Cricetulus griseus: one gene and its partner. The protein of the gene in region 2 interacts with the protein of the main gene of each other region in a pairwise test. Links are inferred from orthologs where the notes say so. Each region holds a gene or a part of one and is shown on either strand. Other genes may lie near its edges. The genes, in order: Hspb8 and Qrich1.

Region 1 (3,907 bases), about 120 Mb from region 2:
TTAGCCAGCAGCCGAGCTAGTGTTGGCTCACCAGCCAGTGCCGAGCCCACACCCACGTCAGCACGTGCCCCGGTGTGCCTGCCCCACCACACCCACACTCACAACCTTTGATGTTCACAATTCTATTCCAAGTGACTTTAATCCACCCCCACCCTCCAGGCCCCCTTGAACACTGCTGGGGCTTGTCTCTGCTCAGCTAGTGCTTACAGCAGGCTTGCTATTGATTTTCTGGCTTCAGGCCCCTGCCAGGAACAAGTTCTTTTTAATGGCCTGTTAATTGGAAGGGAGGCAGAAAGCTGAGGCCCATCTCACCAGGGGCCAGGCTTCCTGTCTCCTCTGTCTTTTCCCCCCAGCGGATTCGTTCTCCCAGAGTGCAATGGGGTAGGGAAAGCCCTGGGCCTGACGCTGTGGCCAGGCCTAAGCTCTGCTCTGGTCCTTTTGCTGACTCACTGGATGACCTGGGACAAGGCCTCCTCAGCTGCAAGATGGGAGTAGATAGTCAGGGGATGAAGGGTCACAGGAAGTTGATTTTTAACTGGTTTTTCTTGTTGTTGCTGGTGCTGGTGGTAGTAGGGTTAATTTGTGTGTTTTTATAACTCAGCTTAGAAACTTGGCTCAAACGAATAAATAAATAAGCAAACAAATAAATAAATAGATGGCTAGATAGATCCCTTCTGTCCCTCAGTTCCCAAGGCAGCCTGGGTTGGAACCCTTTGCTACCTTGAGCAAATTATGCTAGACTCTGCTGACCTCCATTTCCTAAGTCCAAAGGGGACAGGTGGACAGTTAATGCAGCCACCTCCTCTGGCTATATTAACACAGGTGCTACCTGATGCTGGGTTTCTGGCTTCTGGTACCAGGCAGACACCTCTTTACCAAGGTTAGCAGCTGTAGTGCTGTCATAACCATCCAGCCTCAGTTTCCTACTCTTGTTGATAGCATGGCGACTCAGCATTCATCCTGCCCCACTCCCCCGACCCCAGTGTTGTGGCTTTGGGGTATGGTAACCCCTGTTCCTGTGTCTTCAGAAGTCCTCCACGAATCAATCTATTCTTCATATTAAACTGTCTACTTCAAAATTGCCAATCTGGTCCCTGCCAGTTCTCTCAGGTGGGCACCATGCCCTGAGGACCCCAGCTACTGGGTCACATTCATTCTCTTTCTGTCCCCCATTGAGAAGCACGTGTCTCTAATGATAACATTGTGGGCTGCATTCCTGAGACCTGAGGTCACCTGTGCCACGTTGTCTGTCACAGGTCCCTTTTACTGAAGTTGCGTCTAGGTTGAACACACACACACACACACACACACACACACACACACACACACACACACGCCCTGGCTGTCTGTCCCTCACTCACCTGACACCTCTACGTATCCATCCTTGGTCTTCACCATCAGCTCTTCAGGTTTGAAGCTGTGCACGTTGACACACACTTTCCAGGGCTCCCCGGGGAAGGGTGGGGGGCTCCTGCCCTCAGCAGGCACTCCAAACCTGGCTGTGGCTGTAGGCCCCCGGGGCACCATGCCGGATCTTAGGGTTCCGGGCCAGGCAGATGAGAGCCGAGGCAAAGCCCAATCAGGCCAAGGGGCTGTCAAGTCATCTGGGAAGGGGTCCATGCCAAAGCCATCGTCCAGCAGGCGGGAAGAGAGCGGTGAGTCCCGGAAGGGGTCTCTGCGCAAGCGGCTTGGGTAGGAGCACGGGAAAGGCAACTGCCCATCAGCCATGGTGTCTGCTGAGCTGAGGGGAAATAGAGGCTCAGAGAGACAGAGCCACCTACCCAAGATCACACAGCAAGGTGATGTGGCTTGAGATGGTTTTCAGAGTTTAGTCCTCCGCTTCAGAAAATTCTGATCTTCTGTTAGCCACAAGCCCAACCATCCGCTGCCCAGAAGGGAGCTGGGATCCTGGCTCACAAATGTGACCCACCAAGCAGGCCCAGCAGAATCCCAAAGGGCCTCTGTCTGTCCCACCTCACCAGGCTATCAGCAAGTCACCCGCCTCCCAGGCTTCCCAGGCTCCCAGCCAGGGCCGCTGCTGAGGTCTTGAGCACAGCCAGGAGTTTAATAAACCTCAGGGACGTGCGCCTAGAAACTTCTCCTGGCTTCTGGGCTGGGAGCCTTGTATTTATTTGCTGCTGGGGGCTGGGGGCGGGTTTTGCAAGCACCTCCTGTCCCAGGAGTATTCGAAGGTGATGAACCAGCCCCTGAGAATCCGCTGAGAGAACAACTGGGCTCCGGGAGCGGGTGGAGAGCTGGGAGGGGCCGTGGCGTCCGAGTCTAGCCAGCCTCTCCCGCACTCTCTCCTCCCCGTACTCAGCTCCGCCCCGCCCTCCCTCTGACTCCAGCAGCGTCCACTCCAGGCACTAGTGTCCCACAGGGCACTAAAGCCAGACTATTAATAACCCTCCGCCTGGCTGAGTGTTCAGGTCATACTCTGGAAATACCATCCCCAGAACATGTTCTATCTTGCCTCCCACCCTGGGGACCCACAGAAGAAGAGAGACATCGGCCCATTAGATTGAAAAGTAGATGGAATCCCCACTTACAGTTTGACCAAAGGTATCTCCGACTTCTGAGAGTGACCAACAACAACATATCATGATTTTTCTTTAATGACACTTGTTAAGTCATATAAAAAAAAAAAACCTGACAGAGTGTCTATTGGGATAGGAAGGTCTTGGAGCAAGAGAAGAAATTGGGCTCAACTCCCAACACTGCCTGGAGGCAGAATGGGGGTCAATGTATGAGAAATGACTGAGGGGGATCCAGGGGTCTGAGGGATTCTGGATAAACTGACCTAACTGCATTCCTCTAAGGATAGGCTGGGGTGGCCAGACCTCACCTGAAAACTAGAAGAGGAAAAGCAATTGATCTGGCATGGGGGTGGAGGGGTGGTCATATAGGGAACCGTGGGGGTTGTGGCTAAACTGACATGTTCTTGTTAAAAGTAGGTGAAGGCAATGAACGCCTGGCCCTCCCTCTGAGGAGGAGTCTGGCTGACGTTTGGTCAAGGGAAGAGTGTTGCTCAGTGGTAACATTACTCCCAGGCATGCCTGAGCTGCTTGTTTCCCACCTGCGAAATGGGCAGGAGAGGAGCCTACTTGGGGATGCGTCATCAGGAATGCATGATGTCACATACTTGGTAGAAGGATCTGTGTTCATAGGCTTTCAACTTTCAACTTATCAGTTGTGTAATGTTTTCTCTTAAGCACTTCATAAACATTAGCCGGTGGAACCTCCCCCACCCACCACCACACAGATAGCTAAGGGCTCTACTACTGTCCTGTTTGGCAGCAGAGCAAACCATCATAAGTCATAACTTTTTAAAAAACTTTTATTGATTGACTGTGGTACTGGAGGCAGAACTCAGCCTTACACAAGCTGGATAGCTGCATCCTAACCCTCTCCTTCCATAAAATCACTTTATTGTGATGGGTTCACAAATAAAGACATCGCACAGCTGGTTTAAGCTAGCCACCTGGACACCTGCCCTGTCCCCATCTCAGAGTGAACCTCTATACAGATGGCCGTGCCCAAGTACTGGAGCTTCATGTTTTATGTCCTCACTCACTCAGTTACATTTCTAGTCACATATCCACCACACAGAACAAACAACAACAAAACAGTCACAAACTATTGCTTTCTAGCCTCTTTCATGACTCGTGTGTCCTTTTCTTGCATTCCTTCTCTATCACCTAATAAGTCCCCTCTTGGTGTCCTTTCTAAAGGTTACTATGTTGTCCTACTATGATATCCCTCATATGGGATCTTAGTCTGTAATATATATATATATATACACACACACACACACACACACACACACACACACATATATATATATATATATATATATTTACACACACACACACACACAAAGGTAGAGAAGCAGGTAGAGAAACCCTTT
Region 2 (3,907 bases):
TCTTAGATGTAGTTACACTAATCTGATCTGTAAACAGTGCATAAATATTTCACAACCTTAAGAGAGAATGTGCTTGTCTAGTATGTACAAAGCCCAGGGTTTGCTCTCCAACCCACATAGAATGGGTTTGGTGTTAACATACTTATAATCGCAGCACCTGGGAGGCAGAGACAAGAGGATCAGAAGGTCAAGATCTTGTTCTACAGCAACAGGTCAGCCCCAAATTCCTAAAACCCCGTCTCAAAGAGAAAAAGATCAACTTTCTAAGTGGGTCCAAAGAACCATTCCTTTCCCGTTTAAAGGAAACAAAAATTCACATCTTCTCTCTTCATGCAGTCAAGTCAGCTTAGTAAGACAAATCACAACCCAGAGCCAGAGAAGTAGTTTAGTGTTAAGTGCGTGCTCAGCATATGCAGACTCTAGGTTCAAGCCCCTGCACCAAACAACGAAAACAGACAGACAAAAGCCTACTAAAAAACAGAAATCACAATCAAATCTTATAGGGGAAAATTTGAAGCTCAGAGGACTTACACCTGGGACCAAATGCAGGAGGGGCAAAGAAAAGGTAATACCTCATTCTAAGTCAGAGAGATAAAGCATGGCCATTTAAACAGCAGAGAAGTAAGAAGCATGGCACATCAAGTACAAACCACTATTGACTAAAAGCATGCAAGCTCACAGAAGACACCCTTGATTTTGAAGCTGCTGTTAAAAAAGAACAGCCCCACCCAAAGTCCCTAACTGGGTTTTGATTTGTGTTGTTTTTGTTTTTGCAAGTAACTTAAATTCACAGCAGAATTCAACCACTTTTTGAGCTTTTGTTTGGAGCTACAACATCAACATAAGCTTTTGTAAGGAGATACAGAACTGTGTAAGTTCTTGGAGAAATAGAAAAGCTTATCCCAGAGGACTAAAAGGTATCTACCAGGTAATAATAGTTGATGGAATTTTAAAAAAGATAATCCAGAGTAAGTAAGCTTAAAAGGTACAAAAAGTTTATAAACACATCCTCAATAAATCAGACAATTTTTGGTTTTGTTTTGTTTTTTGTTTGAAAAACCATTTAGGGAGCTGGAAAGATAGCTCAGTGGTTAAGAGTACTCATTGCTCTTCCTAAGATCCTGAGTTCAATTCCCAGCACCGGCATAGCAGCTCACAACTGTCTAATATCCTCTTCTGATGTGCGGATGTACTTGCAGACAAAGCGTGCCTTTAATCCCAGCACACACGAAGACACAGGAGAATCGCTGAGTTCCAGGCCAGCCTGGTCTACAGAACGAGTTCCAGGACAGCCAGAAATAAACAGAGAAACCCTGTCTCAAAAAACAAAACAAAAAAAAAAAAAAAAAAAAAAAAAAAAAAAAGACAAAAACCCCCAAAAATTTAGGTTCTTACTTGATGCTTTGTAATGTAATGTTAATCCTGCATGCTCGTCTATTTAGATTTTTAAGGGACCATCGTCCAAGCAACAGTTTCCCACATCTGCAGCCCTCTAGTAGCTAGCTAGTGGTTTCTAGCAGACAACACCAAGAATGAATGACAGGATTTGTAAAGCTGCAGTATTACCAAGGGAGGAAGGGGTAACGGACTGCACACATACTTCCAGCATATGAATGATTTTAACTCACCAGTCACCATGTTGCATGTATGTCTGCAGCTTGTCCTGAGTTCTTAAGACTTCTAACATTCTGAAGAAGACAGAACAAAGAAGTTCCTTCCATCCTCAGCCTCTTTTTAAGTTTTAACTTTGTTCTTAAAAAAATACATTGTATTAAAAAAAAACATTACTATCAAATTTGATTTCTACTATTACTCCCTTTAGCTTGCTTTTCCTCTACCTTAGCAGAGCAAAGCTGTCTAATAAACTAGCAGATGTTTTGTGTTGGAAAAGAGGTGCATATTTCTCCTTCACAAACCTAGAATTTCCTTGACACCAGATCACAGCGCTGGGACAAAAAAAAAAAAAAAAAAAGAAAAGCTAAGGAGTTATAACGGTCACTTGGTTTTTACCGTGACACGGGCAGATTTTAGTAATTTCTGCCGGATACTTTAGAAATTAAAAAGAAAAAAAAAAGGCAGATCATTGATCGAGTTTATCAATGTGAAGAAGCGGCCCTTATTCCACACTGAAAAGCAAGGCCCTCCCACCCGGGCGGGGGCGTGGGGGGCAGCATCTAAGGGTCTAAAGCGGAATTTTTTAGAGCTCAGAGAGTTTGGTACCACACACATTACAAGATCTCTTTCAGGAGCACGCAGAGGTGACGTGTATCAACTGCGCTTATGGACGAGTGGGTTTCTGAGGGAAGAGAAGCAGGTACTAACGAGGGGCCCTGTGAGGTCCCCCTTCTCTGCTTGGCACAAGGCACCAGCACAAGGTGAAACCCCGAGGGGACCCGCAGGACTGGGCTTCCGAAGCCGGGCGGCACCCTCCCCGAGCGCCCACCCAGTACACGGGCCTCGCTTAGACAGGCGCATTCTTCGGTTGGTACGAGCGGTCTCGTCAGCCTCACAGCGGCGCGGAGCCGCGAGCCGGACGGCGAAGCCGCTACGTCCCTCTGCAGACCTCGGCCGCGGCTGCCCCGGACGTCACCAGAGCGGGAAGGGCCCGGCCCTCCGCCTTCCCCGCGCAGCGAGTCGGTCGTCCCCCAGGCTGCCTGCCGGCCGGCCGGCCCTCGCTTCACAAGGGGCGCCCTGCCCTGCGCGCACCCGGGGCCCCGGACGGGACAGCGCGACCGACCAACAGCAGGGCGCGCGCCGCACAGCCGGGGGTCGCCAAGACGCGCGCGCGCGCCCCGGAAGCCGCTCTAGCCCACGGGCCGCGGCGGAGAGTCAGCGGGGACGCGCACGTCGAGCGGCTACGCGCAACGGGAGGACCGCACAGCGCGCGCGTTACCGCGAGCAAAAAAAAAAAACCACACGCGCTCTCGTGCGCGCGCCCGCTCGCCCGCCGCCGCCGCGCGCTCTCGTGCGCGCGCCTCCCCGCCCCCGCCCGCGCGCGAGCCCGGACGCTCTCTTCCCAAGCCGCCGGGGCCAGCGGCAGCGCCGCCCGCCCGCCCGCTCGCCCGCCGCCCGCTCGCCGTTGTGTGGAGTGGGCCCGCCGCCCCGGGCCACAGCCCTCCCTGCTTCCCCGCCCCGCCAGAGCCCTCACCCGCCACGACGCCACCGCCCGCCGCCTCCGCGCTACCCGCCGGCCCCGCTCCACCGCCCGGGGCCTCGGTTCTGCCGTCGCCGCTCCAAGACCGACAGGATTTTCTCCTCACAGCTCCCTGGGCGCCATCTTACATTCAACCCTCACAACCAATGGGAGCTGAGTGCCCCTCTCGCGAGAATCTAGGCGTCGGATCCCGCGAGAGTTGCCGGTCGGACTTAAAGGGAACGCTTCTGCCCGAGAGGGAGGCTGGTGGCGCGGAGCGTGCATCCCTGATTGTCCGAAGGAGCGCCACGCCCACGGACGCCCCTGCATGGCGGGGAGGGGCTTAGGCCCGGGGTTCGACGCCCCGGGGTTATTTTGCTCCTGCCCGAGGTCTAGGAGCGCGCTTCTTGAACACACCTACGGCGTCCCGCGTGCGCCTCCCCTGGCCGCACGGTTCCGCGCGAGGCGTGGCCCGGCCTACCTCGGCCTCGTGGTTAAGGTGGCCCCCCAAACCGCAAGGCTGGGCCCAGGCTTAACAGTTGTGCCGCCCCTGGAAAACGCTCGGGGCTGCTGCTGCTCTGGAGAAAACAGCTTCTGGAACGCGCACCGTCGGCTCCCATCTGCCATCAGTCTGCCACAGTCAGGTCCACCTTAAAGCGGGCCCTGGGCAGCCTCGTGTTTGTATACAGGGAAAATGTGGAAAGCTTTAAAGCTGCAGGCGCTCACCTACAGCCTCACCAGCAGCTCGCACCAACCCAGGCAACAGTCAGCCTG

What was found.
Region 1: the proteins of Qrich1 (region 2) and Hspb8 interact in binary tests that used the Homo sapiens proteins (3 or more experiments, as listed by UniProt). The two-hybrid records come from large-scale screens. The link is inferred for Cricetulus griseus from reciprocal best matches to the Homo sapiens genes QRICH1 and HSPB8.

The regions. Positions count from the first base shown.
Region 1 is NC_048597.1:96,474,195-96,478,101, forward strand, and holds the start of Hspb8 (heat shock protein beta-8), read right to left. Parts: upstream 2,256-3,907; 5' UTR 1,729-2,255; coding exon 1,362-1,728; intron 1-1,361. UniProt on the Homo sapiens protein: Involved in the chaperone-assisted selective autophagy (CASA), a crucial process for protein quality control, particularly in mechanical strained cells and tissues such as muscle. Displays temperature-dependent chaperone activity.
Region 2 is NC_048597.1:216,700,320-216,704,226, reverse strand, and holds the start of Qrich1 (glutamine-rich protein 1), read right to left. Parts: upstream 2,639-3,907; 5' UTR 2,444-2,638; intron 1,689-2,443; 5' UTR 1,629-1,688; intron 1-1,628. UniProt on the Homo sapiens protein: Transcriptional regulator that acts as a mediator of the integrated stress response (ISR) through transcriptional control of protein homeostasis under conditions of ER stress.